2 linked regions of the Lytechinus pictus genome follow. The protein of the gene in region 1 binds, or shares a complex with, the protein of each later gene. Links are inferred from orthologs where the notes say so. Each region holds a gene or a part of one and is shown on either strand. Other genes may lie near its edges. The genes, in order: apoptotic protease-activating factor 1-like and caspase-3-like.

Region 1 (16,953 bases):
TGCCAGCCGTGCGACGAAATGACAAAATATAACACCCCAAGTGGAGTCAAGACTTGTTGTTAGTGTCTGTTCACATATTCGACATTATGGATCATGTTCGGGAAATGAATTTCTACAAGAAAAATAATGAACAAAATCAATTATGAAAAAAATATTAAAGGAAGACTAACTCTAGATGAATTAGATGTAATTAAACTCGAATTGACAATAAAGGGTATCAAATTACAAAACACTAATGAAGCTGATGAATACTAGGGTACACATTTATTTTTAGGAGCATGAAAGGTAAGGACACCTAGAAAATGGCACTTATATCATGTATACATGTATAGAAACAATTTAAATTGTGATGAATGGAGAAGGAGAAAGGGATTATATATAATTGAGACGAAAAATTTAAACCAGTTGAGCTGTTATAGGATTTTAAGGTCGATTCATGTTTACTTTAAGTTGCTTATGAATATACTTTGAAATATCAATCAGTTATTAATCTTTTATTGAAAAAATGTGAAAATTGTAAAGTTGAAACTCATAATTATCTGTAGTCGTGACGTTTCACCCCTAACGCGCTTCCCGCGCGCCCTTCGGGAACCAATGCAAGTGGCGTTACAGTAGGCCTACTGATCTGGACGATCCAATTGGAAAGACGTGCTGGTGTTCATTCACCTGATGAAGCCAACAGAGGTCAGTGAAATGTCGCGACCACAGAGAATTATGAGTCTCAACTTTACAATTTTCATAAATTACCAGTGAAAGATTAATTACTGATTGATATATTTCAAGTTTACTGGATGAATCATAACATTCATGAATATAGTTTGATTTTGGTAACTCTTTGGATACGTATACTATTATATTATGTTACTGGCGTTTTGCGTCCACATGCCCTGCTTTAGCCAGTAAGGGCTGTAAGGCCAGTTTTTTTAATCGAAATTATGTACAAAATGCATTTATCTCATAATTTACACTGTTCCTTTATTGCTATTTGTTCAATAAAACAATTTTGAAATAAAAAGTTCTTACTTAAACTATGTCTGGAGATTATTGAAAAGATTAATGATTACAAAAATGCATAATATTAGTTAAAAATGTTTACTAGATCTATTTCAGGAAATGTAAATAAGGGACTGAAGCGTTTCCCTTCTGCATTCTACTTTAGAAAAAAATAATAAAAACATAGTGATATAGATATGTAGAGAATCATTTTAATGATACTGATATTTGTCATGAACTTTAGACATTGTAAAACAATTCGTCTTAGATGTATGTGTGGGTTATGCGTTGTTGCTAAAGTTGACTTAATAACTGACAGTCAGCAATCAAAGACTACGGTGCTTTATTAGAAGTATGGAAAAATATTAACTTCTGTATTAAAGGTTTGGCCATACAGTTGTGCTCAAAGTTAGTGAACCCCACCACAAAATGCACTCCTTCATAATTATGATGAGCTGAGTGTTGACTGTAAACAACAACACTGTGATGTTCGGCGAGCCAAGAGAAACAAACTTCATTAAATGTTATATATTAATTTACCATATCATCCGACTTCAATCTAAACGTTGCCGGAACTTGAACAATAATTATAATGTTCATTTTCTGATGGGATTCACTAACTTTTTAGCAACACTGTATGTCTATTAACTAATAACGAATGTTCACAGTAAAAAAAAATAGCACGTTGTTTAAGCCTGTCACAACAAGTTGTATAAACTTTTTAAACAATTTGTTTAAAAAGTTTAAACAGCAGTTGTTAAATCACATGCTTAAACAATTAAACAGTGTGTTTACAGTGTTTAATGTGTTGAACGTTAAAAGATACGTATTTTCCTCATTCAGGAACATAATCACATATTATAATTGTGTTCACAGTCAACCACTGTCAACCACATCTGAATATACCATGGGATGCTCAACTGTGCTTTGTTATTTTTTTTTCTCCTTGTGGAGAATTATTCACTTGAATATTAAAATCCATATTGTTCGAAACATAAATCTTCCAAAAATCCACTTTCCCCAATTCATCTTGGCCCTGGGAGCGCACTTTAGATCTTGAGAACTTTATTTTTATGTTACAGTTATTACACAAAATGTATTCCATGTGGTAAGCCTGCTAACTGTACTAACAAAATTTAATAAAATTAATTTAAAGGAATAAAAAAATGTTCAAAGAACGGATCTATATCGAATAAAATTAAATGAAGCATTATTACCTTCTGAATAACTCCACGAAGAAGACAATTTCAGTTCACTCTCGCGTTAGCCATGAAAACGATAATACTCAAACACTGGACTTCGATTTATAGTTATAGCTAGCAAAGCATCATGTTTGAAAGTCAATATTTCAAAAGGGGGCACCTCCAAGGTGATTTTGAAAAGGGGTGAGTAAACATTTAATTTTTCGGTGAGAAAATGACTGTACTGTAGGCAGGGGCGGTATAGGGAGGGGTACACAGGGGGCGACTAACACCCCAATATTTTTTTCTAGACAGTAGTGAAATCAAAATGAATAATGAGGAGAACATGGAAAACAAGTAAGAAATTCGAAGAATATAACTATAAAGATAGATCTGTGCCAGTCTGTAACTCTATATCCATAATCATTCATCATCTTTATGTTGTCTTGCTTGCCCCACCCCATCCTTTTATCAAATTATCCTGAAATGCTCCTCCCTACCCTGAAGCACGTAGGCCTGAGTTACATCTAATGTTTCCCAAAGGCCCTATATGCTAGCTCTAACTTTCTTCTCTTCCATCGCTACCTTTCCCCCACATTTCTTTTTATTTTCTTTCATCATCTGTTTGTTAAAGAAAGTAAGCAACCATACTTGGCCGTAACCCTTGCCCCGCGTAATGCAGACGCTGTAGTGTTTTACAAAGTATTTCGAAACTGGGTGCAAACATGTCTGTTTGACACATACGCTTTGCAGACGGGGAAAACAAACGAAATGATCAACTAGTTTTCTTGAAAAGTGATTTCTTTTACAATGATCCAATTCTTGTAAAGGTAAAGGTGCAATCTGAGCCAAAAATCTTGAGGGGTCAGACATGGCATATTTGGGAGAAAATCCTAAATAGCTGCGAGCGAGTGAAGCAAGCGAGTGATTTTGTTTTCATATTTTCAAAACAAAGCACTAATTTTTTAAATTGGCATAATATATATAAAATGATATAATTTTTACCCTTTTGCTTTCACTTTCACTTTGTTTCCCCCCCCCCCTTTTTTTTCTTAGTCGTGATTTTTTTTTTTTGGGGGGGGTCTATGGCCCCATGCCCCCCCCCCCCCCATCTGCATGCCATTAATCTGACGGCTAGTCTAAATCCTGCAGACTCAACAAGCTTTGTTTCTACACTCTAAAGCATATTGGGTAAAATGCTCCATGAGGGTAATTATGTGTCCAACCATAAACATTGAGCATTTTGGGGGGGTATTTTCATTTATCCAGTGTGATGAAAATTGTGCCCATTCTTAACCTTACTCGATTGCTTCCCGCATTGGGTAAAATACTGCCCCAGATTAGTTGGACACATAATTACCCTCGTGCTGGTTAAAATTTTTACCCAAATATGTTTTGCAGTGTATAATGCAACATGAACTTATATTTCACCAGTTTTGTTAAACAATTGTCTTTGATTTCGGATTTCTCTATGCTTTAATTTAGATGGATAATTTATTCCATGTCTGATTTCTTGAGTGTACGGATAGGCCTACCATATTGCATTTGTATTATGTTCATTTGGGGAGGACGTAAAGTAAGGTTATGAGTTCAAATTCAAAACTGGTTTCGAAAAAAGCAGAAAATAGGTCCTATATAATGTGTGAGTGGGGATTGATTTGATGGCGCTTCAGTGAGAAACTGACCCCCCCCCCATGATTTTACAAGAAATTGCAGCAAGAGAACATACGAGGGGCTGGAGGAAGAGAGAAGAAAGAAGAACATGAAAGGGATATTGGTTCTGGTTCCCGCGTTGCCAGTTCGACAAAATGTTTATAGGTGTCCCCTCCCCCTTTCTATGAAAATGTCCTGGGCCGGGTTGTATTACAATGTGATATGACATACAGTCTTTTTGCACGTACAGAAATAGAATCGTCCACTTCGATCAAAATTTATCTAATATACATGCGTATCCCTCCATAAGCATTTGCTTTTAAGGTCTTACGCCTTCTATAAACATAACATGTACAGTTTTATACTCTTCATAGCAAACTGATTTTTGTATGAATTTATGTTAACGAAATGTAGAAATGTGTGAAAAGGAAGAAAATAAATGTTTATTTGAATTGAATAAAGAAAAAAATGTTTCATAAACCGCATGTACGAATGTGAATCGGTTGCTGCGTGAGGTAAGATGACATGAGTTCAAATTTTAAAAAAAATTTATGTTGTGTATCCTATATGTTTACATGATGTAAATACTACATCTGTGCATTAGGCCTATGTAGATAAAGTAATGGTGATATCAGATATGTAATGAATTCGAGACATTCATTCATGAACCATTGTGAAATTTGAATTAAAAAAAATCTAAATTCATGCTTCATGACTATAGCTTTTGATGTCACAAATGTTGTCAGCCCTTATGGGAAAGATTTTCTTATAAATTAGAGATGATGCGTATTACTTTAATGCATTTATTGCCTTCATTAAAACGAATTAGATGCCAGTATGCGACCATATTATGTACGTAATGGTGTTCATCGCAAAAACAAATTAACAGAAATCTTATATTTTATATTTAAAAAGATGTTAATTCTATTGCATTCATCTCAAAAGATTCAAAATTCTTTTGTTGGTCAATGTACGCATACACAGAAATTTGGTTTCCAATGGCTTTAACAATATACGCAAAGATGAGAAGGGAGAATAAAAAAATAAAAAAACAAGTGCACACCTAGTTACCAAGAATGCATAAAGCACAATATTTGAATACAGGATAAAAGGGCATTGTCGATCAAATGCCATGCTCACGGGCATAGGTATCGCGGCCGGATCAAACCCCGGACATTTTGATATTTGCAGGCGCCCGTAGACCAATCGGCCACGGCAATGTATCCAAGAGACAAATATTTTCCTCTTCCCACTGGTACTTTTCTGATTTTTATTGTAGTAGTAGTTGAAAATGAGGGCGCTCTTCAATCTCTCCAGATTGGTTCCATGACATTTGCTCTGGCGACAATTGCTCCGCTCCAAATTCCACGCACTAATCGAATGACCAACTTAAACCCGAGGTTTGCACTATACCCTACCCTTAACCTAATCCTAACATAAAACCCTATTGTAACCCCAATTTATGCGTAATATAAAAAGTTCGCCTTAGTTAACTTTTGTTCAAAGACTCTTATATAGGATTCTGATGTTCTTAAAAGAAAATAATTGTGCGGCAGATTAATATCAGGAAAAATGTTGCGCGTGGGGAGGAGGGGGGGGGGGGGTGGATGAATTTCGTCTGTAGAGTTAGGGATCCTAACCCTAATTCAATATACATAAGCATAAGAAAGAATTAAAGAAAGAAAGCCAAAGAAAGAAAGAAAGCGGGTATTTTGTTACGGGGTGGTAAAACAACTTTTCTTAAACTGAGTAATTAAGACGGTAGAGGTATATACAGGACCCACCTATTTGTTTTTTTGCTCTCCATTTTCCCTTCCGTTTCACAGGTATTGGAATTGTCTAGAAAACAAATATAATTTATGTTGATAGATTTCTTTTTAGGCCCCTTGGTTGACTCTCGAATGTAATTATGTGTGATGAATTACTTCGAAATTGATTTTAGATTGAACTTGTAACTGGATTATTTTTAATAAAAAGTATACCAGTTCTCTTGAGAAAAAAAAACTAGGCAGCGTGCACAATGCATGCAACAATTCTGTGGATATTTTTGGAGGTATTTCTAATGAAGCAAAATATAATAGAAATATATATCATTGTTAAATAATCATGAAACTTAATGAAGAATAAACGACAATGTATAATAACAACAGCTAGAATAGACTTGTTTGTTATTTTGATGGGGGACCGAGACGGGGTCTCGGACCGCGGGCCGAGTTTTCCACCCATTTCGTGATTTTTTTGTTTTTCTCACAAATTTGCGTCAATTTTTCCATCATTTCGAAATTTCTTGGAACGATTTTCTGGTTATAGACTTAGACCAAAAGCTTCAGTCTCTGTATTCTGGTTGTTCCGCTGAACTACGTTGGCTCCACTCACCAATACATGAATGGGGATGATAGTAAAATGTCAGAAATTGTTGAATAAATCCCCAGAAACGACGGTTATTCCTGGCTAGGTTAGACTGATGAGACATCCCCTTTGAATTTGTGAAATTACCTTCTTCTTCTTCTTATGTTGGTTTGAGTGGCAATTAGTCATATTTGACTATTGTCGCCATTGACTTTATCTATAAAATCTCACTTCTCATATTATTACCAATATGATGTATACATTTATGAAATATTTTTATTGTGCATCCTTCTATTATAAAAATGATGAATATAGTATACCGGTCTACAAAAGTTTGTCTTAACTATTGTCAAAATGGCATATAAACAAATCTTCACCAAAAACAAACCGCTATCTTCAGTCCAGTTCCAACTAGTTGCGCTTGCCCCACTGAACTAGAGGTATCTAGTTCAGTGGCTTGCCCTGCCCTTTCTAAGATGCAATCATACCGGTCAGCACGGTACATTGTGCCGATTTTTCGGACATAAAAATGCCTAGGTCACCCATGCATAGACGAGGGGGCGCTAGTGTACCTGTGCTTACAGATGGGTTAAACATTAATATATATATATTTTTTTTTTACAATAACAACAACAACAACAACAAGGCGAAAACACTTGTGGGCTCGGTTAGTTAAAAGTGCAGAACATATTATATATACATATTATGTATGTATGTATATATATATATATATATATTTTTTTTTTTTTCACATAAAACTTTATATACGAGCATATCCTTTCCTATTTCTTATAAACAATACAATATAATAATAGCACATATCACTCCTTACTAAAACGTTTCGTTCTTGAAACGAAACGTAAAAATGCTTTCTGTATCCCTGGATCATCTTTTTTTAAATACTCCATTATTTGTCGAGGCTGTGATTCATTCAATTCTGCAAGGAGCATTGATCGTTCAATTGTATATTTTGGACAATGTAAAAGATAATGTCTGACAGTTTCTACCTCAGGACATCTATCACAAAACCCTGTTTGATGGATCCCTAATCTTAGTAGATCTTGGTTAAGACCAGCGACTCCAAAACGGAGACGATGGAGTACAGTTTCCTGTCTCCCTAGATTACATTTATATGTGGATAGCACTGATGGTTGCAGTTCTTTCAGTGCTGAGTTAGTTTTATTCCATCTTTCTTGCCAAATTATCTTACAACTTTTTGAAATAAGTTGCATAATTTCTGATAATGTTATTTGATTATGAATTTCTATTTTGTTTGATAAAGCTTTTTTTGCGCAGGAGTCTGCTATATTTCATTTCCTTTTATTCCACAGTGACCAGGGATCCACTCCAGGTATATCTCTATACCTTTATATTTGAGTCTTGTACTAATAGTTAGAATTTCTGTGATAATAGGATCGTCTTTCCGATTCTGTAAAGATAAAAGTGCACTTAATGAATCACTGAAATTAACAACACCTGTGTATATATCTAAATATTCTATCCATTCCAGTGCAAGAACCGTAAGTTTCCTCTAATTTCTCATTTTTAAGACACCATAGTCTAGCGATCGAGCGAGCAAAACAAAACAAGATTTGACAAGCAAGAGGAGAGCTTAAGTTTGACGTCACTTAACTGCTTAAGAGGTAAGATTGCCAGATTAAAAACTTTTCATATTAAGAATTCGTAAGAGGTTTGATTATTTGAAGTGTAATTTAATAAAATATGAGATTTCTGAGCATGACCTTCAATGATTTGCCTTGCTTTGGCTTTGCGTAGCATACGGCTAGTTTCTGCTTCCCAACTGAAGCGTCGCGTCTGCGGGGTTCGCGTCTGCTATCGTAACTCGTCAAACTTCGACGCCTGACCCGCCCGCAGGGAGAGAATGATTGCTGACTGGCACACCCACACCGCCGCGGACATATGGATTGCCTGGTCTGATAACATGGATAAGGCCAAGTAAAAAAAGATAGTATTAGTAGTAGATCGTCCGGGTTTTTTGAGAGCAGTGATGAGGGAGGTCCTTACTATTTGCTATCTTACTATTTTTTTGAAAAACAAGGAGACATTTTCTCGGCCCGTTTTTTACATTGATCATGTGTCTGACTCTGTCTCTGAGTCTGACATGACATGATGATGATGAGGGAGGTCCTGGTCACTCCTAGTACCAATGAGGTCCAACATTACATGTATGGACCTCATAGGCGACATCAGTAGTATTTTGTGTCAGAAATCTTTGTGAAGATGATTATTTTTGTATTTTATCAAAACTACAAGCTATCGTACTGTCTAATCATTACATTTCGATCTCACTAATTGAATACATTGTTAGCAATAAAAAAAATTGAAAGAAATGAAGGGGAACTTACATTTTCACGGCTTTTTCCTGATTTTCTGGGCAACTGCTCCTCTCTTCTGACTCGCGATCGAAGCTGATATGAAGATCACGTGATTCGCGTTCTCGTCAGCTGATCGGTTGGTTATTCTTTTCGTCAGACGTTAATAATATATATTTTATAATGCTAGCATTCATCGCTAATTTAGGTGAAAGAGATTGAAGTTAAACAGCGCCAGGTCGGAATCATAATTATTTTGGAAGAGTGTATTTATACACTCGATCTCATACCTGACGTAGACGGCGCTATTCAACAAATGCACAATCTTCAATATAAAAATAAAACAGAAAGAACGCCTTGAACACAGGCCAAAATGCCTAACGATTTCTCCGCGGCATTAACAACTATCGTAAAGGGCGCTCCATTTATCAATAAAGATGGACGCTAAGCTGTCTATGGCGACAAAATTTGCCGCAAATATTTACGAAGAATTGTGAGAAATGGTCTGAAAATGCAACAAAAGAACCGGTGAGTACCGATTAAACATTATTAAATTTATAAATAGATTATACATACCTTGTAGATTTAGTTTTTAAGGTGATATTAGTGCTTAGTTCTAAGCTAGGGAGGCCCAAACGCGCGTGAGTGGAGTCCCAGTTTATTAGCACGGGTAAGTATTGGGGTGTCGCCTAGAGTGGTCCTGGTAAGAGTTCCATGTGCACCCCCCACTAAAATTGAAAATAAAAACATGCAGAAGGTTCAGAATAATATATCTAGCCCTAATATCGAACATATATGATGGGGAAGTGGAAATACATACCAAAATATGGCTTTATTCCGTCAAATTTCGAGCGAGATCTTGTGCGTGTAATTGTCCATAGACATCGGTTTATTTAGTCAGTAAAGGGTCTGCGAGTCAAGACTAGTCGAACTATCGGCTGATAATCGTAAAAATACCCTTTCCGGTATCAGCGCTTCTCGCTAGCATAGCGGGAAAGGTCTTGACTGGAGATCAAACGAGGTGAGTTCGAGTCCCAACTAAGGTAAGCAACAGTAAAAAAATGATAGAAAAATCTGAAGTGAACGAACCGGAAGTCTCAACAATCTTTTGTTATTTTTGGTGGGGGGTGCAAATGGAACTCTTTCCGAGGTCCTTACTATTTACTATTTTTTTTGCTATTTTTTAATCAAATGATTGTCAGGACATGTCAGGCTCGATTTATGTGATCGATGCATGCTCAATATTAATGATAAATGAGTAGAAACATATATATATCTATATATATGCATATACGATTAATTGGAAATCTAGCTATGGAAAATGTATGGAATAAAAATCTATTAATGTATCAATATATACCGGTACTTTATTATTGTAAAAAAAATGTTCATGTCAAGTGAATGATTTAATCATTCTACATTATGTAAGGGTAAAAAATGCTTGGGGGGTCGCTTTTATTACCATGGAGCCATGTTTAGTTTTCCAGAGCCAATCTCTTTCAGCTCTGGGCATGGTTTCGCTTCAGTTTAGTTTCCAGCTGCTTGTATATTCGTTTACATAATGTTCAATTTTTATTCATTTTTTTTATTGATATCAAATGTTAAATGATTATTGAATTAATTGTTCACATAATGTTTATTATTTCAATATTTGTTAGTGTTTACAGATCCATTTACTAACTAATTTTTACAATTGTCCATCAAATTGAATAGCTCAAGGAAGAATGAAGTTTATCAAATTTGAACAGAATTGGCACTGACTGGAATCCCATTAATGATTTTCAATCTTGATAATGAATAACCCACTTGAAATTGTTTTTTGAATATTCAATGCATTGCCTGCTGACGTAAGAAAACTTGCCAGAAAATTCAATTCATTTCACAAATTCACATGTCGCGCCAGCACAGTCCATCACATCATCCCAGCACACATGCATTCACCCACCATAGTCACAAGCACAGCTCATTCACCGTAACACACATCGAAGTACAGGCGCTATCACTCACCAAAAAACCCCGCTGAAATACAAATTACGTCATTAAAAATAAAATTGATTTATCTGCGCCATATTTCCAAAGCACGCGACGGATTAGTTCAGATTTAGGAAGCGGGGTCCCCGAAAATGCACTAAAAATGAAGAAATCTGTGATCTTTTCCGAGTTTGCAAACTTCTTCTTTTTCTTATGTTGGTTTGAGTGGCGATTAGTCATATTTGACTATTGTCACCATTGACTCTATTAATAAAAAATCTCACTTCTCACATAATGATATTATTACCAATATGTATACATATATATATGAAATATTATTCTTGTGTATCTATTCCTAATATGAAAAAGGATAATAATGGTATGTACAAAAGTTTGCCGTAACTCTTGTCAAAATGGCAAACTTTATTTTCTCGTTAATTTATATGATTGTATCTTCAAAAGTACCAATAAAAAAACAAATCAGAATTTTTTTCTTTCTTGCAGTTATGGCGATATCAGACTTTGCAATTGTTCTATGAGATAATGAAGTTGCGAGAGAGATCCCAGAGTACATGAGAGCAAATCGCTCACCAATCTTGTGAATTTTTTTTGCTTTTCAGCGGCCATAAGAATAGTAAATATCAAGAAAATTGATGCGGCAATCAAAGAGAGAAGCAGGCGCGGACGAGAAACATCACTTTTTTTTTTTTTTTTTTTGCCAATTTTTTGAAATAGTAAGTGGAAAAAAATTTTATGCGGCGGCCAAGATAGATGCGCGCGAGGAAAATCAACTACTTTCTTTTTTTACTTGGCCTAATATGCGTGACTCACAAACGAAATTCTAAGGAGCATTTTATTTTCTTGTGTCATTCTATCGCGCATGGAGGCTTCTGGAGAGTAATAGACCTAGCACCTAGTCACTTCATTTCATTTAATTGCTCAACTCAACTGATTCTTGCTTCAAATTTTCAATTCAAAACTTTAAAGTCTAAAACTAGATTCATGGAATACTGAATAGCAAGTGATGCATGATGTCTGACTCTGAATCTGATAACATTTGCTTTCTTCAAGGCTTCAGCCTTGTTAAAAAAAACATAGAGTGAATTATACCTAGAATAGATCTACTTCAAATCAATTAGGTAGGGTCTAACAATGAACATAAATAAAATTTTGGCATTCTCATACAGCATGTACAGTATAGATATATGGACTGCTTTGAGAGGCATGGTTGTTTCTAGAGGCTCAAGGGGACCGCAACGCGACTATGCCCAAGGGCATTGTCTGGCCAATGTGGTACCCGCGAGCCGAAAGAAACAACCGTGTCTCGAATATAAAAGCAGTCCATATATAGTCTAGATCAGGGATTCTCAAATGGTGGCGCGCGCGCCACTTGTGGCGCACCGAGCCTTCCGGAGTGGCGCGTGGGAGCCGGTATAGAAAAAGAAAAAACATTAGAAAATAAAAGGTTGATCTACTATTAATCTAGAATTGAGGTTTGATCCTTTAATCACAAAGGGAAAATAAAAACTCAGCTCTTTTTAAAATCTAAATGCTATTTGATTTCCTCTGATTTTGTGTAATCTAGCATTCGATAACCCCTATATTATGGAGGATCTATTTAATGTATTCATTTACGATTGGTACAAAGACTATGTACATAATATGTGAACATAGATTTGTGAACAGTGCTTTTAATAATAACAATGATAATCATAATTACGTTTTATTTACTCAGGGTAGCCATTTCAGTTAGGGAACTGCAGCGGGCCCTGCATTTCCATGTATGTTATTACTACCCTTCTCTAATTTAAATGCTGAGCGCCAAGCAAGAAGGCAGAAGGTTCCATTCCTATATATATATATATATATTTTGTATGACTCTGTTGGGGATCGAACCCACGGCCTCCCGTTCATGAGGCTGACGCTCTACCACTGATCAACATACCCGGTTTGCTTTTTAAACACGACCCTCATCAAGAACAAAATTTAATACAGAAACATAATAATTAACGCTAATTTGAGCAAGTCACTTATCATTTTTTAAAATAAATTGTGTAGTATGTTGGTATTTTTATATCTTCTGTTGATTGAGAACCCCTCTCGGCCATTTAAAAGGCTTTCTGCTCTTCAGGTGGTCCTGCATCCCCACCATACCACAATATTTCGCTCTTCGCGTGTTGGATAGTGGAGCAGTCCAGATTCTCAACAAGAAATTTGGCGCTTCAACAAAATTAATTGAGAATGGCTGGTCTAGATCTATAAATATCTAGATCTTAAACAAGTTAGGCCTAAAAGCCCTAGGCCCCAGGCTAACGTTAGGGCCTAGGCCCTAAGTTAGCCCTGCCCCTGACGTTAGGTCTCGAAGTCGAATATCAAAGCAGTCCATACGGTACCGGTAACGTTAGGCCTAACGTTACATATTTTAGGAACCAAATTAGGGTCTGAATAGATCTAACATTAACAATTTTAGTTAAATCTCCATTTAGAGTCTAACAATAACAGATCTAACGTTAGATTTCTATTTTAGACTATGTCAGATCTAAGAATTTAACAAAACATTAGGCCTAGGTCTAGATCTAGAGTCTAGACTCTACTCTTAACTTCTGAGCTAGCTAACGTTAGGCCTAGATCTAACGACAACGCTGTCATTAGATCTAGACCTAACGAACGTTGTTGTTTGTCTTACCTAACGAGTAATAGGCCTAGGCTATAGAAAGTGCAGTGGCCGTCTTATCTTTTCACCCGACTCACCTTTTGCGAGCATGCATTTGAACGAACAACTGCAACAAGACTTGATGATTGATACATCCGTTATGTCCTTAATAAGTTAGTCTTCTTTTCAATAATGCCATATTTTTTAGCAAAGCAAAAGTCAACGATCGGCATCGTTCCATTGATGTGTCATATCCGTATGCGCAATAAGCGCGTAAATACGCGAATTGTCTAAAACTTTTGATCAAATCGCACGGATATTTATGGTATCCGCAATCACCGCAGAAAGCAACATTTTGCATGCAATCAAATGGGGATCTCAGCCAAATTTTGCTATGCCCGTCATTAAGGGGCTGGTCAGGGGGCAACGGGCAGAAATCTAGTTAACTATGCCCGTTGCCCTTGGTTACCACCTTAGTTTGTTGTTTTGCAGGCATGGTCGTTTACATGACCTCAATTTTGACCAATCAGAGGAACGGATTATTCGACATTCTTAAGGAGAGGTTTATAATGTACTTTATGTCCCAACAAACTTACCCAGTGAAAAAGACGACCTTTCTCCGTCGACCCAAATTATTGAAAATAGTATTACTTTTGGCTTACAAGGTTTAGCCAAATAATGCCAGTTCCGGATGTAGTTTAAATCAGCTATGTAGTTTATTCAACATATTAACACAACTTGGATTGAGAGGTTTTCTGATGATTGCTGAACGAACAAATTTTTAAGCAATTATAAAACTGACTATTTGACTCATTCAAATATTTTTGTTTCATGAGGACAATATGATTCATTTACCGGTATCTCTTTTGTTATCTGTTACATGCTGTCCTGGAGAAGAAAGAGAAAACCACAATGATGATTTAAAATGGGAAAATGTCCCTCATCACTTTTCACTTCTACCCCTCTTGGAATATATTAAATTGTGAGAAAGCACCTATAATCAAGTAGCCAGATTCAAATAGTAATCCCATATTTTTAAAAGTTCCATATCCCCCTTATGAATTGTCCAAATTCTTTCACAGGTTGACCATTATATTTTTCCAATATTTTTGCTTTCTCACAATTCATTATATTCCAAGTTTGGATCCACCTTAATTACATTAAATGTAGATCTATATCTGCACATAATTTTCTGAATTTTACTGAATCTATCTACATGTACTGTATATGATTAATGATTTTATTTGACAAATTTTTCAGAATCAGTAATGGGGGACGCAAACATGGCACCCATGATGGAGCTGGCGAGGTTGAACTTACGGCGTCACCGCCAGTCCCTCATCGATGATCTCGATGTGGAGTTTATTTCTGATCATCTCATAGCCGAAATGGTCCTAGAGATCGATGATGTGGAGCTTATCATGTCAAAGGTATGGTAACATTATTCAGAAGTTATTTTCATATTGTAATAATTATAATAATAATTATAAAGATATTATACTAATTAAATAATTATTTATATGATCTATTAAATAATTATTTATTAATATAAAAAAATTGTAATTAATATTTTTATTATAATTATTATTAGGATTAGAATAGTAAACAAAAAACTTTCAATGAATATTCTTTGATAATAAGAAAACAATGACGAAAGCAAGACAAGGGGGTATGGGCTATGGGTTTCTGTAGTCACAAGTTATAACGTATCAATCGCACAGGTGTAGTTAATAAGCAGCAAAGATTTATGGCTTCTGCCTCCGCCTAGATTATACACTGGGGGCTTTACGCGGAATAGGCCAGGGGAAGGGGGGGGGGCAACTAACTATAAGGAGTCCTGAGAAGATTCATGGTGCAAGATCAATAGTGTAATACCAGGCCGGGGGGGGGGGGGAATTGAGTCTTTGACCGACGATGAATTGAGGGGCTTAGGAAACGTGGTTAATCAATGAAAAAGTTGTGAAAATGATATGCTTGGGAACTGCTGGCAAGGGGTGAAAGGGGGGGGGGGGGGCTTTAGGGCAGCACATTCCCATAATGCCATTATACATGTACATGAGTGCCTCCCCCCCTCGAGTCCCCACCCCCCCCCCCCCCCCTGGTGAATAGAATTGCCCATACATGTAGGCATGTCATGAACATGTCATACAGCGTATTGCATTACATTAAATTACAAAAAAATAATGTGAAACTGCAGCTGAGATTCTTGTTTACTGAATGTTCTTACAGTATGTAGGTGTCATCTGTCAATATATGGATACTGGTAGTCTGCAGGCACAGACTCTGATTGGTACTCTAGTCAATGAATGGGTAATTGTAATATGAAGTTGAGCTTAAAACTTCTAACTTGCCGCACTATCAGGCAGACTACATGTAAGAACTAAAATCATTAATTTCGGTCAGCAAGTAGGTCTTGATTAAAAGTCTAGCATAACTTTTATCTTGCTGCACTTGGGCAAGCCAAGACTCTAATTGGTGCTTTAATCAAGTGAGTCTAGATTAGGACAAATTTTAGCTCAAATCTTACATGTAGGCTTCTTGTAACTTGCTGCCTAAAGCAGGCCAATAGAGTACCCGAAGTGTGATTTCACGATTTCATGACAACGAACTGGCTGGTTCTAAACAGAGTCGCAGCTGACGATTGTCTATACACATTTGTATTTGCAAAAATGGTGATGTGCTAGAGAAACACGCGCTATACAGTGCATATCAAAAAAAGTTTACACTTAGAAAAATCCTGTAAAATTATACATAAATAATATCCTGAAGATTTTTCCACATTTTAACATTGGTACAGATCCATTTAAGCGAATGACGATATAACTCAAAAATATTTCCGCTTGAGTGAGCACCACTTACTTTGAAAAGTTAGTGAAAAATTATTTGCGCAGAACTTTGAAATAGTTATGCGAATAAAAGTAGACCTTAAACATGAAGAACACGTGGAATTTAGCAAGTAAAATTGATTTGAAGATATCTTTTACCTTTTTAACTTGTTTCCTTGCCCAAAACACTTCGAAGAGTGCATTGTGCCCCACCCCACTCCCCCACACATCGAGGCCATCGTGACGATATTTGCTTTACACTGAGCTGTGATTTACATGAAATGGCTTAGGCTTGATTTTCATTTTGTTAATCATTGTCAAGCTTGGAAAAGTGTGGAGAAACAAGTATTAAATGAAAAATGAAATGTAAACCCACTTTAAATAATAAAAACTTAGTGAAAAAATGCTGGAGATGTCTGATATTAGCTATTGTTCAGATTCAGTTACATGTATGTCCTCATCCAGCTGGCACAAAAAGGGTAAAGGTTGTGCTTACTAAGTGTTGAAATTTCAATTTGGTTGGCAAAATTGTTACAAAATGCTTGAATGTATCCGTTTTATTCCAATTGACTAAAAGTGCAAGGGAAATGTATGAGAAATGTTTCACAGGGCAAGTTTGATTTCGCCCTTTCCCCTTGACAAAACAAGAATTTATGTGCAAACAGATTTCTGCGAGCTTTATAAAAATGGACAGTGCTCACTCTGTAACATTCTGTCAAAACTTTTACTTTCATTGGATAGATGAGACCCAAACCCAAGATTATATGTGAAAAAATTATCCACATGTTGTATATTTTTTAATTCCCAGGGCTTTTTCAAAGTGTAAACTTTTTTTTGATACGCACTGTAGAGCGATATGAGCGAGTCGCAATACTTCCGGATGGGTGTTTCATAAAGCTGTTCGTAAGATAAGAATGACTGGCGATCCTTTCTTGTGGTAAATGGTATAATAAATTAGGGAAGGTTTTAATAGCGCATAAGAAAGGATCACCAGT
Region 2 (17,430 bases), on another chromosome or scaffold:
TTAATTAGAGCCGATGGGGTATTAGAGATATCTGCATTTGATGAAACGTCCGCCCTTTGAAATATCAGAGTTTCATTGCTCTGCGCAGGGAAGAATATCTTCCTCTCGGCATATACCCTTCTTGCAGCACCCTTTTCTTTGCAAATTTTTTTTAAATAAAATGCTTTAGCTTCCGCGCTTCTCGTGGGGTAATTATTATTTTAATTTCCTCCATTTTATCCCTTTTTTGGGCGTTCACAATCACTTTTGAAAACAAGGTTCAAAATCACAATATAGTTAACTGAATTGGAGCTGATATAGGTACTAGAGACAAGAGAGACGGCTCCTTTTCATTTTAATTTGTGAAACACCGAAAGCTTCGCGCGGGAGGGGGAAACTCCCCCTCCCTGCACCCAGTGCACCCACCCCCTATAGGGAGCGCGCTTCGCGCGCTCTGTAAGTGTTGGCACGCTTCGCATTTACCGCCCCCTCCAAAATGAAATCCTGGCTACGCGGTTGAGGACTGGAAAGGAGAAGAGATAGAGAATAGCCTATATAAGGATAGGAGCCGGGAAGAGTAAGAGAGAAAAGAAAAGGAAATTAAGGGATGTGGAAATAAAAGTGAAAAAGGATAGAAAATAGGAGGGAAAAGAAAGAAATATAGAGGGGGAATGAACATTTTATTCATTAATTTATTTTATTTTATCTATTCGGTTTAAAACATAGATACATGATACGACGGATCCATGGTTTTTCAAAGCGGAGGGGGCACATTTTCCCGGCGATGAAAACATTGACAAGCGAATGAAAAAAGAAAAAAGGTTTTAACCAAACACTAAGGGGATTTTGTCCACACAAAAAAATTGACAAGCAAAAAAAAAAGGGGGAAAAAGGGTCTTCACTTTCAATAGGGGGGGGGGGGCACATTTTTGTTTTAACGGCAATTTTACATTACAAATTTTAATTGTGCCTCTCAAGCCGGGGGGGGGGGGCAAGGGCCGGTTGTGCTCCCCCCTGGATCCGCCAGTGCATGATACAATAAAGGTCCGACTTCCAAGGACCAAACCGAACATGTTTGCAAAAATTATAACATATTCATAGATGAAAATGAAGGGAAAGGGGAGAAAGTGAAAAGAAAAGTGAAGGAAATTGATATAGCCTAGGGTAAAGAAAAGGATGGGGAAATGGGAGAGGGAGAGAAATTGCAAAAAGTAATCATTTCAAATCATATATAAAATGAAAATCCACTTGCACTTCGCGCTCGAATGCATAAAATGTCACATTTTCACGTCAATATATATACACAACAAAAAAAGTAAGTCCCCCCTAAATCAAATTGCTGTAACTTTTGAACGGAGTTATTTTGAGATATGATATTTCGTAGGAGGTTTTCTACACTTATTAAGCAACTTCTGGGGAAAAATGAGATTGATCGGTCGAGTCATGCATGAGTAATTAAAGATTGAATTAAAAATGACCATTTTTGAAAGTCACAAGAGTCGTTTTTCAGATTGTGCAAATACAAAGTTGGGCAAAAGTTGTTTTTAGGTGAATTTTATGGTGTTATGCTGTTTTACTATCCATCATTTAGCCACTCCACACACGATTTTGATATCGTATGTTCATGGTTGAGTGAGCACAATATCGCAGGGGCCGCGGAAGCGAGGTGGGGGGCCCACTTTTTTTTCCAAAAGCATGTACAAAAATGTAAAAATGACCATACGATTGTGATTTTTTGCATGGTCAGTGGGGGACTTTTGGCTCAGCCCCTCCCCCACACTTTGAAAACCATTCCGCGGCCCCTGTATTGTGACGTATCATCATAGAGTTTTTTTGGTAGTATCGTCTACAACTTGTTAGGTCATATTAGAATTTGAAAATGTTGGTGGCTCCCCCGATTATAGGCCCCTCCCCCATTTTTAAATTCTGGATCCACCACTGATTTGTCCATAAATTAAACTGATCATGATAAATTGTTAGGAAAAGAATACATTTATGCAGTATAAAGAGTATTCATTCCCAAGTTTTCGAATGTGCTCGCTCAACCATGAAAATGTTAAAAGTTCGGAAAGTGTGTGGTGATAGAAATGATGGATGATAAAAACAACAGCAATTAAAGTCACATTTGAAACCGAATTTGCCCCCAATATTCACCTTATTACCCTTTAAAATGAGTCTGTGACATTGAAAATACCCATTTTCCCACTTTGATGCGTGCTCACTCATCCGTAAATAAACAAATCGATTTCATTTTTGCACAGAATTCTGCCCATAGGTTGATAAACATTACTGCCAAATGACATTGCTAAAGACAGCCTTGAAAAAAAGTTTCACCATATTGAATAAGGGGTTACTTATTCTTAAACATATGCACCCATAATGTACACAAGTCTATGAGAGATGAAGTCAAAATCTTAACAAATATGAAATAAGGGGTTTGTTTCATGGACGGTTTTTGTTACTTCTGCCAACAGTTATTTCATGAAACTTCGCACATGGCTTCAGAGTAACACTATCCAAAAGGCGCGCACACCAAAATAACAATTCGATACGGCACAGAGTGGGGCCAAGGTCTTGAACTTTCTTCTCATTTGCATAATTTTCGAATATTGTGTGCTCGCTGATGCATTAAACATCGGGATTTTCATAAAAATCAAATCAAATGAACTATGCAAGGAGGTTTGTGACAGATATCCATAGTTACAAATTGCATTTTTTCCAATAACGTAAAAAAGAGCTAATCACATTCCACATGTTCATTCAAGCGTGGATATTTAATTAAACGCCTTTGAATCATTGAAGCATGTTAATTGGTCATGAACATAACGAAAAAGTTGAGAAAAGATCATTTCCAGTTACCGAAATGAAACAATACTTGCCTATGATATTTGAAAATCGTATTTTTTGTTTTCAATAAATGTTCATTGAACCGTGAAACGATGAATATTGTTGAAGATACTCTTCCCAAAAATAACTGTCATCATATTCTATCATTTTTATTGATGAAAATGTGTAAAAAATCCAATTATAGCAAATTTGGACTTGTGTTTATTCAACCGTGAAATTTAGCCAAAAAAATTGTATCGTCTTTTAGAAAGTACCTTTTACAAGCCTTCTGACTGTTTTTCATGTTGAGAATGTAGAATCAGTTCCAATAAAATGGAATCAAAGTCGTGATTTTTGGCTTGTGACTTTTGAAAAGTGACATTTTTGCCTTCCGACGGTGCTCACTGAAGCATGACGTAAAATACGTCCATAACATTTACTCAGAGGGTAGCTTATAAAATTACCTACACGCTCATGTAAAAACATATCAAAAACTCGCATTGGTTCGGAAATTATTGATGTTTGTTCAAGGGGGGACTTACTTTTTTTGTTGTGTATATAAAAAGAAATAGTTGATTTTCACCAGTTTGTTTTGTTAAATATATGATCACAAAAAGGTGCTTGACCCCCCCCCCCCTCCCCTCCCCCGATCAATATATATATATATAGGCCTATATAAACTTAAGTTTCATTTTGCACTAATGCCCTGGGCACGATTTTTTTTATTAGTTTATTTATTTATTTTTTTGTTCAAACGACGGAAAGTTGTTCTTAAAAAAAACATATGCATACACATAATAATATGAATGCAATAATAGATGAATAATATTCTTCCTTCACTTATTCCTTATTACTCTACGTTGCGGAATTTAAAATACTCAAGTGAAAAAATATATTTTCTTTATAATCAGGCCTTCTAGTGAGGGCCAAACATTCAGGACCCTGCATAAGAACGAATGACTGGGTTGCTGATATAAATCTGAAAGCAAAAAAAAGGGGGAAAAAAAGGTTTACTACAAAATGAAGGTCATTTTGGTTACATTATTTCCATTTTAAACATCTCCCAGAATACCTGGGGGTGCTGCCTATGGAATAATACACGCAGCACCCCTTTGGCATTTTTTTTTTTTGGGGGGGGGTGCTTCAGTACCCCCGCTTCCCAGGGCCATGGAAATATCGGCGCTATACCATCTGTCGCTTCCTCGAAAATAATGTCCAACGGCAGCCTCAGTAAATCGAAACTAAAGTGATTGGTTTGCAATTTACAGTTAAAGCCAGCCTTATGGTCAGGGGCGGAAATCTCTCCCAAAAGGTAGAGGGGACACAGGGGCGGATCAAGCCTTCGCCAATATAGGGGGGGGGGGCGGCGGAAATTTTTTTCAGCCATAATTTCCCCGATCGGCAGCTCGACTCAAGATGATTTTTTTTTCTTTGAAGGGGTAGTCCTCATTAGTCACTTCTTAGCTTTATTCTTATAAATTGATACATAATATCATAATCCTTATTTATATGATGCGAGCAATTTTTTTGGAAATTTTATGTTTTTTTCCTAAAATTTGAACATTCTGGGCAATGTTTGTTATCCTGAAAAAGATGTGTAGGCAACTTAATAATTACTACGAACGCAAAGCGCGAGCACAAATGAACTGATGGAAAAGATACCTGTTAAAGTAGCATTTAACTATCAAATAATGCGAGCGCGAAGCGCGAGCTAAATTTTTTTTTTACTTTTTCACCTAAAGAATGGAAATTTTAAGCACTTTTTGTAACTCAAACAGAATAAGTATATAAGTAAACAATTGATGCGAGCGCGAAGCGCGAGCGGAAAATTTCGAGATTTAGTCCTATAATATTTACTGAACGAGACACTCTATTCATGTTTTGTAAATCATGAAAATGATGAGTATTAATAATGCTAGCGCAAAGCGCAAGCAGAAAATTTTTATATACGTTTTGAACTGGTACCTGATGAAAAGGTAACTGTTAAGGACTGCTTGCACTTAGCCATGAAGGCGTTACATATTTCAACAATAAAAAAATGCGAGTGCGAAGCGCGAGCTGAAAAATTTTGAACTTTCTAAAGAAAGAATGGAAAATTTTAATCAGTTTTTGTAATCGTGAACAAAATAGCTATATAATTTAATAATTGATGCGAGCGCGAAGCGCGAGCAGAACAAAATCGAGATTTAGACCTAAAAATGGGCCACTCTGTTCATGAAAAGGATGAGTAATATGGGGTCTTCCTATACATTATAATGCGAGCACAAAGCGCGAGCAGAAAAAAAATTGATTTTGTGATCTGAAACTGGATAATGATTTAAATAGAGGACAAGTTGAGTATCTGAATAAACATGCGCGCGCGTGTTTCATATTTAGACCTAGAATCTAGGCATTCTAAATGCATCTTTAATCATGAAAATCATGAAACTTTGATATTCCGATCTGAAAAAAAGAGTCAATTTCAGCTTTATATTTCAAGCACTTTGTAGAAAAATTGTAAGGTGGATATGGATTGCACTTAAAAAAGAGCTGATAATTTCATTATTATTACTCTGAGTTTTGACATTGGACCGGGACATCCTTACGACATGTCATCATATGAAAATGATGGCTATCTTCCTATTCCTCTTGCTAAGCGAGATGAAACAAAAGGGACAATTTTGATTATTAAATTAATATCATATTTATCAATGCCTAATGAGGGCGCGAAATCTGATGATATTATGGCATAAAAACTGGACATTTCACTTTTGTGATTATGAATAGAATGCATCAATTAATATATTTTAACCATTAATGCGAGCGCAAATCGCGGGCTAAAATTTTTGATAAACTGTTATGAAAAGGGGATTTTAAGTAGTTTGTTGTATAATCAATATTGAAACATATATAACTCGCCAATCAAAATGCGAACTTGCAGCGCGCTAGCTGATACGTCTTAACAATCAGACCTGAAAAGGGATATACACGAAAATAATAGATACCTGATAAATCAAAATTTGCGAGCGTGCAGCGCAAGCAGCGAATGTTAATATTCAGACCATAAAACTGACATTTTACAGAGCACTTTTTAAAAATCAATTTGTAAATCACACAAAATAATGAAAGTTCGATTTCCGAGGTGAAATATGTTTTGTATATTGACTTCCAAACTTGACATTCGAGCTCCATACCGAACAAGATATGTAAGTCATCTAACAGGCAATGCGAGCGCGCAGCGCGAGCGAAAATTTTATATAGTGGCACGAAAGATTCTTTTTATTTTCCAAGTCTTCCTCTCATCTTATTTTATGCACTCGTCGTCGTCCTTCTCTTCTTTTTCTCCTCTCTTTTCCCTCCTTTATTCCTTCTTTCTTTCCCTTTTTTTCTTTTTTTTTTGCTCCGCCAAGAGGGGAGGGGGGGGGGGTGGGCCCCTCGGCCCCCTGGTCCGCCTACGGGGACAAGGGGCGGGAAAATTTGACAAGCAAAAAAAAGGTTATCATCCCAAAAGTAAGGTCATCTCGTCCCAAAATACATGTTTTATTTCGATTTAGAATGATGTATTTCTTACCATCATAAAAGACCAAAAATAGTAGGGGGGACATTTGATATTGTGTCCCCCCTACTATTTTGAGTAGGGGGGACACGTCCCCCCTGTCCCCCCTGGGATTTCCGCCCATGCTTATGGTCTATCCCGGGGGGCCACTTACATTGACGAGTGGATACCATGCGCGACCAAGAAAACACGTAAAAAGGATGTCTTTTTTTCAAGATAGGGCACGTTACGTACGTAACGTGATTAGGGTGTCAAAAACACAAAAATAATGAAAAAAGGGTATCTATTTCGCTAGGAAAGCTACGTGTTTAGGGTCACATTTGCGGGGATGATCAAACAAAATTAAAATGTTGTATAAAGGATGTCCTTTTTGCCCCAACACTACGTGTTTAGAGTCCCGATTTGCGCGAGGTGAGGAAGGTGGGGCCATACTAAACCAAATGGTGTGTAAATTAGATAAAACCGACGACCGCCGGACCCGTGACACAACAATAAAATATCGCTGTATACTTGTTTAGGGGTTCATTTCAGGGAATACTTGCCAAGAGTATAGTTTTGTTTCCAATGCTTGTTAAGGGTAGGGTTTCAGACGCCAATATACTTGTTAAGGGGTGCATTTTCAGAACATGGAAAATACGTGTTTAGGGTGCTTTTCGAGACCCCGTGGTCGCGCATGGTATCCACTTGTCAATGGACCCCCCCCGGTGGTCTATACATCGAAATTAACCTTTAAACTCCTTCAATCAATATTAAATTCACTGTATTTCGCATACTAGGGGTTTTGTGCATACACACGATAGACATTTTGAACCCTAAACTAAACACTTGTACAAACCTTTTGGGGTGTAATATTGCACCCAAACTTAAGTGGAAAAAGGTGCCAAAATACACCTTTCTGTTATTATTTGCACCCAGAATGCTAGTTTGCACCATAAAAGGTGCAACTTTTCACCTTTTAAAGTGCGTAATGCTTAACATTAAAAACAAATGCAAATTTGAATATTTAATACATGCATGGTTCAACTCATCTTTGGTGCACAAATAAGCACAATTACACTCACTGGGTTGCTGCTAAAGTACCAATTACCCCTATAGGATTCAAATTTGAACCTCTTAGGCCCGTATTCTGAAGTCGGGTTTAACTTAAACACAGGTTTAAAGTTGTGGTTTAAGTATGGCGAGCCAATTGTTACATAAATCACTAATAGTAGAGATATCATACTTCAGCTCATTTGGCTCTCAAATCATTCATAATTGTCTAGGAAGTATAAAAAGATTATTGGCTTCACCATCGATGAATCTGGAAAGAGCACAGTAAACATAAGAAGCATACAACTTAATAACAAATTTGATACTTTTGGCTTCCCATACTTAAACCACAACTTAAAACCTGAGTTTAACTTAAACCCGACTTCATAATATGGGCCTTAGTGTGCATGTAAGACCGCTCCGGAAGATGAAGGAGCAAACGAAAGAAAGAAGAAAGACTTAAGATTCATTGGTTCATGTCATTATCAATTTTAATCATAGGCCCTATAAATAATAAAATACATATAAATAAATAAGCAAACAAGAATACCTGATGATCTATCAGCTGTAATATCGATACGAACGAAATTAATAAATATTTTTTTAAATCAAATAAGAATCATACACAATTGAGTGTATGTTGAAAAAAAATTATACAATAAAGATACCAGCTAAGAAACATAGCAGCGCAGGAAGTGTATTATGAAGAGCTCAGTTGCAATAGGGGTTAGGTCCACTTTTCATCAAATTTGATTTGTTTGTCTCAATGTATAGATTTTAAGTACCTCTATAAGATGATACCAAAGAAAAGTTGAAATTCCCATCAAAAACAAAAAATGGCAAAGAAAAATATTTTTTTTTTTTCAAAAGGGGTTAGGCCCATTTCAGTTTGGTTTCAAAACATGGACCTGGCCATGGAGGATTTGTTACTGGGGGTACTGTGACAATGCTAAGCACCGGCCCAGTAACAATCCCTAATCCTCCGTGGATAGGTCCCTGTTTCAAAAGGGCTAGTTTCACAAAGAAATGTTTTGGAAAAGAATATTTAAAACAATATGAAGACAGGTAGATTTCTTTTATACCCAATTTTATGTTTCATGGTAGGGTATCATGAAAATTTAGTGTCGCATAAGAATATTGCAATATGGGAGAATAATAATAAAAAATGATTTTCTTGGAGTGGACCTACAACCACTTTTGCAACCAAACTCTTCTGAAGAGCTCAATCGTCAAAATGGGTTAGGTCCATTTTTCGAAAATTTCATTGTTTTCTTTCTCAAAACCTATAGATTTTTAGTCGCTCTGATGATACCAAAGAAAATTCGAAATTAATTAAAATGTGAATTAAAGTGGCAAAGAAAAATCACTTTTTTATTCAGAAGAGATTGGATTCATTTAAGTTTGCTTGCAAAACGGGTTACATGTAGGTCCACAATAATAATCAAAAGTTTGAAAAAAAAATTTACAGAAAAAATGAGGACAGGTAGACAGTACGATGATACACTACCTGAACCTGGTGGACTGTACTTTAACGGATGATGATGATGATTTCTTTTATACCCAATTTTATGTTCACATGATAGTACGTATAGCCTACGTATCATTGCAGTAAGTGAGAATAAAAAAACATGATTTTTTTTTTCTCGGAATGGTCCAAAGTGAATCAATAAGCAAATGAACGACAGTGGGAAGGGGTCGGGGGGGGGGGGCGCTCAACCCACGGAGAAAGAATGAGGTACAACATTAAGAAGTGCGGTGGACAAAGGAAAGGAATATATTGAAGGAAAGGATAAGGGGAAATACAGTATGATGTCATTGTCTGTCGAGTATGTTAACATTTGTAAAAGTTAGATTTTCATGTAGGCCTCGGGCTATAAAAAAATCTTTTTATAAATTAGGTTAATCTAAATGTTATTTTACTTATTTCGTATTGTTTTGTTTTTGACAAGTTAAGTTATTTATCTCGCCTCATTCAGATACTAGTAGTTGCGAGGATAATTGTGAAATCTTTATCATTCTAAGAAAATCTTATCCAACGCAACGCGCAGCCAGCGGCCGGGGAAATCCCGAGCGATGACGTACCGTTTCGCGGCATCTTTTTCTCACACATATATATATCTGAGCTGAGCCGACATTACAATTATCTTGAAAGAAAAGGTCTCCAAATTTGTAAGTAATTCGGTATTATGTCGTTCTTCTTATTTGTTGTTTAGAAACAAGTGTCATTATTGTACTTTCATTATTAACGGTAACCTATTTGTTTCAATTTGTCGAAACGAAAAGGAGAGGAGTCGCTCTGAGTCTGACTGTCTGACGACTGGAGTTGACTCACTAAATATAGTTTCACTGTGAGGTGAGTATATTCGTACCGGGCCCAACGTATGTGCAAGGCCCGTTTTTTAGCACTTGTGCAATTCATATTATCGTATCACGGAATTATGGTATCCTCGTAGGGACATGGGTGTATAAGCATCGCACGCGCCGTGAAATGAAATTACTCTTTTATAGTTTGGACAGTGTTGGGGCGGTGGCTGTTCATATTCTTGCTATTGATATGATACTTGTTAGAATTCAGTGCAGCATGATTGATACTAAACCCTATGAACCTATAGGACTAGAGTCTATGGATCATTTGCAGATAATTGTGAGGAGTGATGATTGTTGGCAAAAAGATAAGACAGCCGTCTGTTTCAAGCAAGCCTTGAAATAAAGCAGCTGCAGACCAGGGGCAATTTTTCAAAAAAAATTGCCCCCGGCTCACGGGCTTTTTACAGGAACCGGGGGCAATTAAAAAAATATATATATAACGGTGAACCACACCGCAAATTTGTTTATAGTAAGCGCAGCTCTAGACCAAAAGCTTCGGTCTCTGTTATGTTGGTTGTTCAGCTGAACTCCGTTGGCTTCACTCACCAAATACAGAGACCGAAGTTCTAGCGCGATCTGTACAGGGGACTCAATGGCAATATGTTTATGTACTTAAGATCGGATAAAACGGGGAAGTGAATTTGCGCGACAGCCGAGGTAAGTCACTGTTTTTGTTCCTTTTAACTTGATTTTTCTCCGTTTTTTGGCAATTAATGCCAAGAGGGAATATTAATTTGCATTTTGGTCGCCTTAATTTTCAAAATTTTTATTCATTAAAGACAAAAATTGAAGGTCCCCGACGGGGGGATTTTGCATTGCAAGTCCCCTAATGGTGGTTGCACGCTAGCGAGCCGTCTGTGTACGAGGAGAAATTAAAATAAAAAAAAAGTTAAAAAACTCCTCGAAACAGACGGCTGCCAGCTGTCTAGCGCAGCTCCTGCAATTTTTTAATTAGTACATGAATAGCATGCTAAGAATTGGGGTTATTCAAACATTTAAGAAATCAGATTTTAAATAAATGTTAAAGTGTGTTTTGACACCCTCACTCCACATCCCCTTTACAACCACACACACATGGGCTTATTTATTTTTCATCTTTGATAAACCGCGAACAATGAACCCTCCCCCCCCAAAAAAAAAATCTAAATAAATGAATAAATAAAAATATAAAAAAGAGAGAGAGATGGAGAAAGAGAGAATTCAGATCAAATAATAGTAAATTTAGAAAAAATTAATAATTGTTAAGGTTTTTTTCATGGTTAGAATCACGGGTGTGGGTGAGTGTTTGTGTGTGATTGTGACTGTGAGGTGCACTTGGATTGCATATAAATTATGTTAAAGAAATGAAATCAATATCTAACTCAGTCTATTCAAATTCCAGCACATAGCCACAGGCTATGTATGTATTGTAGGTTCATGTACCTTAAGTTTTTCACAAGTTATTTGAAAACGCAGATCTCCACAGAAAATGCCTTTCATTTTTGGAGAGTCTAAATTCGGTGAAAATGTATTCACTAATAACTTAAATATTCATCACAATGAAGAAATCATAAAGTTTTTTGACAGTTTTCAAAAATTAACATGAAATCTAAACTCTATCTGAAATGGAAAATCACCATCACTTGGGCCATTACTGATAAAATTCTCACCCAGAGCTCTGGCAGAGAACATGAGCTCAAACTGGATAGCTAACACCACACTCAAGTGCACGGCGTCCTATTTTTTTTTAGATGGAGCCTTGTTTGATGATTTATTGTCTGATATTTACCCCTCTCCAAGAAAGAAATTAAAAAGCTATAATTCACAACTATAAGCTAAGTGATTTTGGATTATTAAGGCTCTGTTTTGACAAGCAAAGTCGGCGACTGAGGATAAAAGACTCGCATATCGTATGTGCTGTGAATAGGGATTTATCTCCTGTGCAATTCGAATTACTATATCGCAGAATTGTGATATCCCAACTGGAAATGTGTGCTTTAGAAATTGCACATGGTGAAGTATGGAAAAACCGCTACCGGAAGCACGCGCGCACATGTATTACAGAAAAAAAAAGACGGACGTAGCTCACTTTTCATGGTACAGAAAAAAAGACGCACTTGGAAATTTGAAACTGCTTATTGTAAATTGAAAGTTACTTGATTTTGGCTTTTCAGATATTTAAATTACATGGATGATATGGCTTCACTGCTCACTCACGGCGGGCGCAATTACCTGGAAATTATTTGCGCCCGGTCGTCAAAATTTTGATGATTTTGGGGCTTTATGGGCGCAATTTATGGGCGTAGGGTTATTCCTTGACTTCTCAAAAGCGTTTGATACAATAGATCATGAAATACTATTATGTAAGCTATCAAATTACGGTATCAGAGGGACAGCTTTACAATGGTTTAGGAGTTATCTTACTGATAGAATTCAGTTTGTTACAGTAAATGAATCAGAATCTCCAACAAGGCCAGTATTCTTGGCCCTTTGCTATTTGTACTTTATGTTAATGATATGAAAAATTCATCTCATGTTCTCTCATTGATTCTCTTTGCTGATGATTCCAATATTTTCTTTACACATCATGATCCACATGTACTTGTGAGCACTATGAATGCAGAATTTAAAAAAGTAACAAACTGGATTAAAGCCAACAAACTGTCATTGAATCTGCAAAAAACTAATTATATGCTTTTTAGTCATTCATTGAAACATCTACCGCATCAAATACTTTTAGATAATACTGAAATCAAAGAAGTGCAAACAACAAAATTCTTAGGTCTTACTATTGATCACAAGCTTATGTGGAATGCTCATATCAACAATATTTGCAAAACTGTGGCAAGAAATATTGGAGTCATCAATAAGCTTAAAAACGCTCTTCCAGCACAGGCGCTATCCATGTTGTATTGTGCATTAATTCTACCATATCTTAATTATGGAATTCTGGCATGGGGTAATGCCTCTCAAACGAGACTCAATAAAGTCTTGCTACTTCAGAAAAAAGTACTGAGAATAATATGCAATATGTCCTTTAGAGCTCATACAGATGAATTGTTTCGTCATAAACGTATCCTTAAAGTCAATGACCTGTACCGCTTGCAACTATTCCAATTCATGTATAAGCTAGATAGAAATAGTGTACCTAATGTCCTACAAAAGAAATTTATGAGAAACAATACTTTACATTCATATAATATGAGACATTCAAATGACTATCACTTACCCAAAAGTAGAACAGTATTTTCTAGCAAAACTGTATTTTTCACAGGACCAAAACTCTGGAATTCTCTGGACAGAGTAATAAAAGAGGCAGCTAATCTAAACCGATTTAAATTACTCATCAAAAAAATTATTCTGAATTCTTATTGATTCAATCCAATATTTTGTGAACCTCATACTTACCCACGGTAGTATTGATTGTTTTAAAGTCAATATTTAATTTTGTATATAGTGTAAATACATTTGTGTTACAGTGTTTATATATAATTTTATAGAATTTTGCTGATTATTTTACTCTACTTATATCATATTACCCTTGTATAAAATTTTGATAGGGGGTCTACATTTTACAAGCTTTGCTTTTTAGTAGGCCCCTCCACTTTTTTCATTTCATTGCTACGTTTCAATCCTGTGTGTTATGCATTTTTTTCAGTGTTAAAATGATTTATTATAAATGTACTTTGATGATTGTGGAATATGAATATATCAATAAATAAATAAATTGATGGCTTTATGAGCACAAATTTGTGCTCAGCGCCCGCTTATTTCAAGGCTTGGTTTCAAGGAGTTTTTTATTTATTAAAATATTAAAGGAGAATTAAACTCTTGGAGCAAGTTAGCTTTTGTGAAAGCAGAAAAATCAAAGAATAAGATCAACAAAAGTTTGAGTAAAATAGGACTAGCAATAGAAGAGTTATGAGCATTTGAATGTCGAGATCACTAATGCTATGAAGATCCTCCCATTGGCAATGCGACCAAGATCTATGATGTCACAGATGAACAACTCTCCCCTTTTGGACACTGAAAATATACCCCAAAACATCTCTTTTTGCTCATTCTAATCATATGACAAACGATTCATCAATGATATAATGTTGTGAAACCTCTGTACTTGTCCTCTCATAAAGAGAACACCTCACCTTGTGATAGACTCTATAAAAGTGAGAATATAAGTGAAATAAGTACTAAAGTAATGAGGGAGTTGTACGTGTGTGACATCACAGATCTTGGTCGCATTGCCAATGGGAGGATTTACATGGCATTAGTGATCTCAATATTCAAATGCTCATAACTTTCTTATTATTCATTCAATATTCCTCAAACTTTCAACAATATGTTTCTTTGATTTTTCTTTTTGATATGGATTCAGCTGGTTTCAAGGGTTTCATTCTCCTTTAATATTAACATTTTTTGTTCATTTCTTGTACACAGACGGCTCGCGATTGTGCAGCTGCCATTAGGGGGTTAACAATACAACCCCCCCCCCCCAACTAGCCAGGAAGCTCCTTTCACTAATGTGTACTTAGTAACTTACTCTCCACGGAGCCAAGAATTGTGTCCCATTCATGTGCGTGTACCGTGAAAAAAGCTGAAATTATCACCCCCGAGATTTCTACTTTCCTTCTAAAAGATCTAGCCCTAAATGATGGGATACAACTTCATTTCCGACATTAATACGATGTTGATTTCATTTTTAAACAACAATTCATAAAAAACCGAGAAAAATATTTTGAGAAGACCGAAAAAAATTGACGATGTTTACGTTGCCATCTTGTACTTTGTTTTTTGCCAAGCTACAAGACGCATATCCTCCTGTTGCAGCGGCAACGCCATGGCCTTTTCTAATTTTTAGCTCGTCCGGCCCGAAGGGCCAAATGAGCTTATGCCGTGGCGTGGCGTCCGTCGTCTGTCGTCCGTCCACAATTTCAAAATGCTACTTCTTCCCAATTTCAATTCTGTTTATATGATAGCACTAGGTGGGGATTCAAAACTTCTACACAGAATTTTGAAATTATTGCTAATTTATGCGCATTTTTCAAAATTCACAAAAAAATGCTTCTTCTTTATTTGTTGACCGATTTTGAATTTGTTGCTTCCATCTGGTAGAGCTTCATGAGGTTCACCAAACTTTTACACAGAATGTTGAAATTTTGACCAGAACAATTTTAATGCTTATTTATGCGAAATTAATTTACCCGGTATGCATATTTTAAAAAATTCACATAAAATGCTTCTTCTTTATTTGTTGACCGATTTTGATTTTTTTTCTTCCATCTGGTATAGCTTCATGAGGTTCACCAAACGTCTCCACAGAATTTTGAAATTTTGACTAGAACAATTCTTATGCTAATTTATGCGAAATTAATTTATTCATATTTTTGAATTTTGAAATTTTAAGTAGAAAATTATTTATGCTAATTTATGCGAAATTTATTCATAAATCACAGAAAATGCCTCTTCTTCATTTGTTGACAGATTTTGATTTTTTTTCTTCCATCTGGTAGAGCTGCATGAGGTTCACCAAACTTGTCCAGAAAATTTTGAAATTTTGTCTGGAAAATAATGCTAATTTATGCAAAATTTATTCATAAATCACAAAAAAATGTTCTTCCTCATTTGTTGATCAATTTCAATTTTGTTTGCTTTATATGATAGCTCGAGATGGTGATACAAAATTTCAACACAGAATTTTGAAATTCATTAAATATGCTAATTTATTTATATATTTTCAAAACTCACAAAAATTATTTATTTGTTGATTGATTTTGATTATTTTTGTTCCATCTGAGAGCTTCATGAGGTTCACCAAGGTTCTACACAGATTTAAGAAATTTTGTCTAGAAAGTTATTTATGCTTAATTTATATGAAATTTATTCATAGATCACAAAAAATGATTCTATGTCATTTCTTCATCAATTTCAATTCTATATCCTCAATTTATGTCACCAATATAATTCACTACAGTGTCAACTGGGCTGAAATTAAAATTGTGTTAAATTTTGTTGCGAGATGCCGGATGAGATCCACATCATTGATGTGCTAGTTTTAATATAATTGATATAGGCTTTCCACTTTTGCTCTCCCTCAATAAAGCAGTATCCCACAATCCGTTGCTGACGTGGCTGTCTACTTTATCTGTTATGCCTGTACTTTTCTGTGGTTGAAATGCTTGTAATTTATTTGATTTTGTTGGACATGATATGGGTGATGGAGTCTAATGAAGTCCAACATTGGCATTCTTTTTCCTTGAGACGTGAGTGATAGGTGACAGGGATAGATCTAATTATCCTGGGACCTGTTTCTCAACACCATAAGTCTAACTTCTTGACTAAATCAGAGTTACTGTAGTGGGCTACTTGTCCGCTAATTGTTTCACGGAGCCCTCTTTGCTAAGATTCGGACTAGCAACCTGACTATTAAATGCAAAGTGTCCAATGTATACAAATCACTCCGCACCGTAGATGACCTCTTCGATGTAGGACATTAACATTCTAATTGACCTAATAAATTTGTTCCTAAAATATTTGTAAAATACTTGTAATTTTTTCCAATGGATGAAATACTAGATGATATAAATGAGTCCGTTGTGTAGCTATACAACTTGCGTAACCTCATCTAGAGCAACCCTTATTGATAATATATTTACTGATTGTGTTCAATACAATTTCTGTTCAGTAATATTTTGTTCTGTTTTCTCTGATCACATGCCAATTTACAGCATTAACAAAGTCAAAGCAATCACTACTAGTAAAGTAAAATGTTTAGACGTGTTATTACTGAAGGACAAGTCCATCCCAACAAAAAGTTGATATAAATAAAAAGAGAAAAATCCAACAGGCATAACAGTGAAAATTCATCAAAATCGGTTGTAAAATAAGAAAGTTATGATATGTTAAAGTTTTGCTTAATTTCACAAAACAGTTATACGCAAGTCCTGGTCGGATTGCAAATAAGGAGACTGATGACGTCATCCACTCACTATTTATTTTGTATCTTATTATATGAAAAAGGAAATATTCTAATTTTCTCACTGTCAAGTGAAACAACAATTGATTCCTCCCTGAACTTGTGGAATTAGCTGTGCTATATGATTCTGTCAATGTGGTCCTTATTGACAAATCTGTAAAAAATGAAATATTATATAATTCAAACAAAAAACCAAAATAAATAGTGAGTGAAGGACATCATAACTGTCTCATTTGCATGTCACTGGATTGTGCATATTAATGTCTTGTGAAAAATAAGTGAAAATTTAAAATGTGATAACTTTCTTATTTCACATCCAATTTTGATGAAATTTTCAGCATTATGCTAGTTTGATTTTTCTTTATAATTGTTCAAATTAACCCTTTTCTGGGGTGGACTTGACCTTCAAGAAAGAATTGATAACTTCAGACAAGATCTTAACATAGATTGGTCTAGTTTATATAATTTATTTGATGCCAATGTTTACTATAACTAGTTTAGTGACATTTTTTTCAAAGTTATATAATTTACATTTCCCTTTGATTGAATTGAGTGGTAAGAATAAATGTAAGAAGCCGTGGATTACCCCTGTTCTTCTGAAATCCATTCATAAAAAGAAAACGCTGTATTATATATCTTCCTTTGGTTTTTTTATGTTGTTATATTAAGGGGGCCCCCTTCACAAGCTCTGCTTCTACATGTATGAGGTCCAAAACCTTTCATGTTCTATTCTTTTTGCCAA

Evidence for each region.
Region 2: the proteins of apoptotic protease-activating factor 1-like (region 1) and caspase-3-like are in contact, whole or in part, in a crystal structure (PDB 4RHW), measured with the Homo sapiens proteins. The link is inferred for Lytechinus pictus from reciprocal best matches to the Homo sapiens genes APAF1 and CASP9. Residues at the interface, in NP_863651.1 of Homo sapiens: Thr22, Ser23, Tyr24, Met26, Asp27, Ile30, Ser31, Ile37, Glu40, Glu41, Arg44; in NP_001220.2 of Homo sapiens: Asp23, Trp26, Asp27, Leu30, Arg36, Pro37, His38, Glu41, Gln44, Arg45.

The regions. Positions count from the first base shown.
Region 1 is NC_087253.1:17,655,390-17,672,342, reverse strand, and holds the start of apoptotic protease-activating factor 1-like, read left to right. Parts: upstream 1-7,731; 5' UTR 7,732-7,819; intron 7,820-14,393; 5' UTR 14,394-14,401; coding exon 14,402-14,563; intron 14,564-16,953. UniProt on the Homo sapiens protein: Oligomeric Apaf-1 mediates the cytochrome c-dependent autocatalytic activation of pro-caspase-9 (Apaf-3), leading to the activation of caspase-3 and apoptosis. This activation requires ATP. Isoform 6 is less effective in inducing apoptosis.
Region 2 is NC_087258.1:6,429,545-6,446,974, reverse strand, and holds the start of caspase-3-like, read left to right. Parts: upstream 1-9,444; 5' UTR 9,445-9,538; intron 9,539-17,430. UniProt on the Homo sapiens protein: Involved in the activation cascade of caspases responsible for apoptosis execution. Binding of caspase-9 to Apaf-1 leads to activation of the protease which then cleaves and activates effector caspases caspase-3 (CASP3) or caspase-7 (CASP7).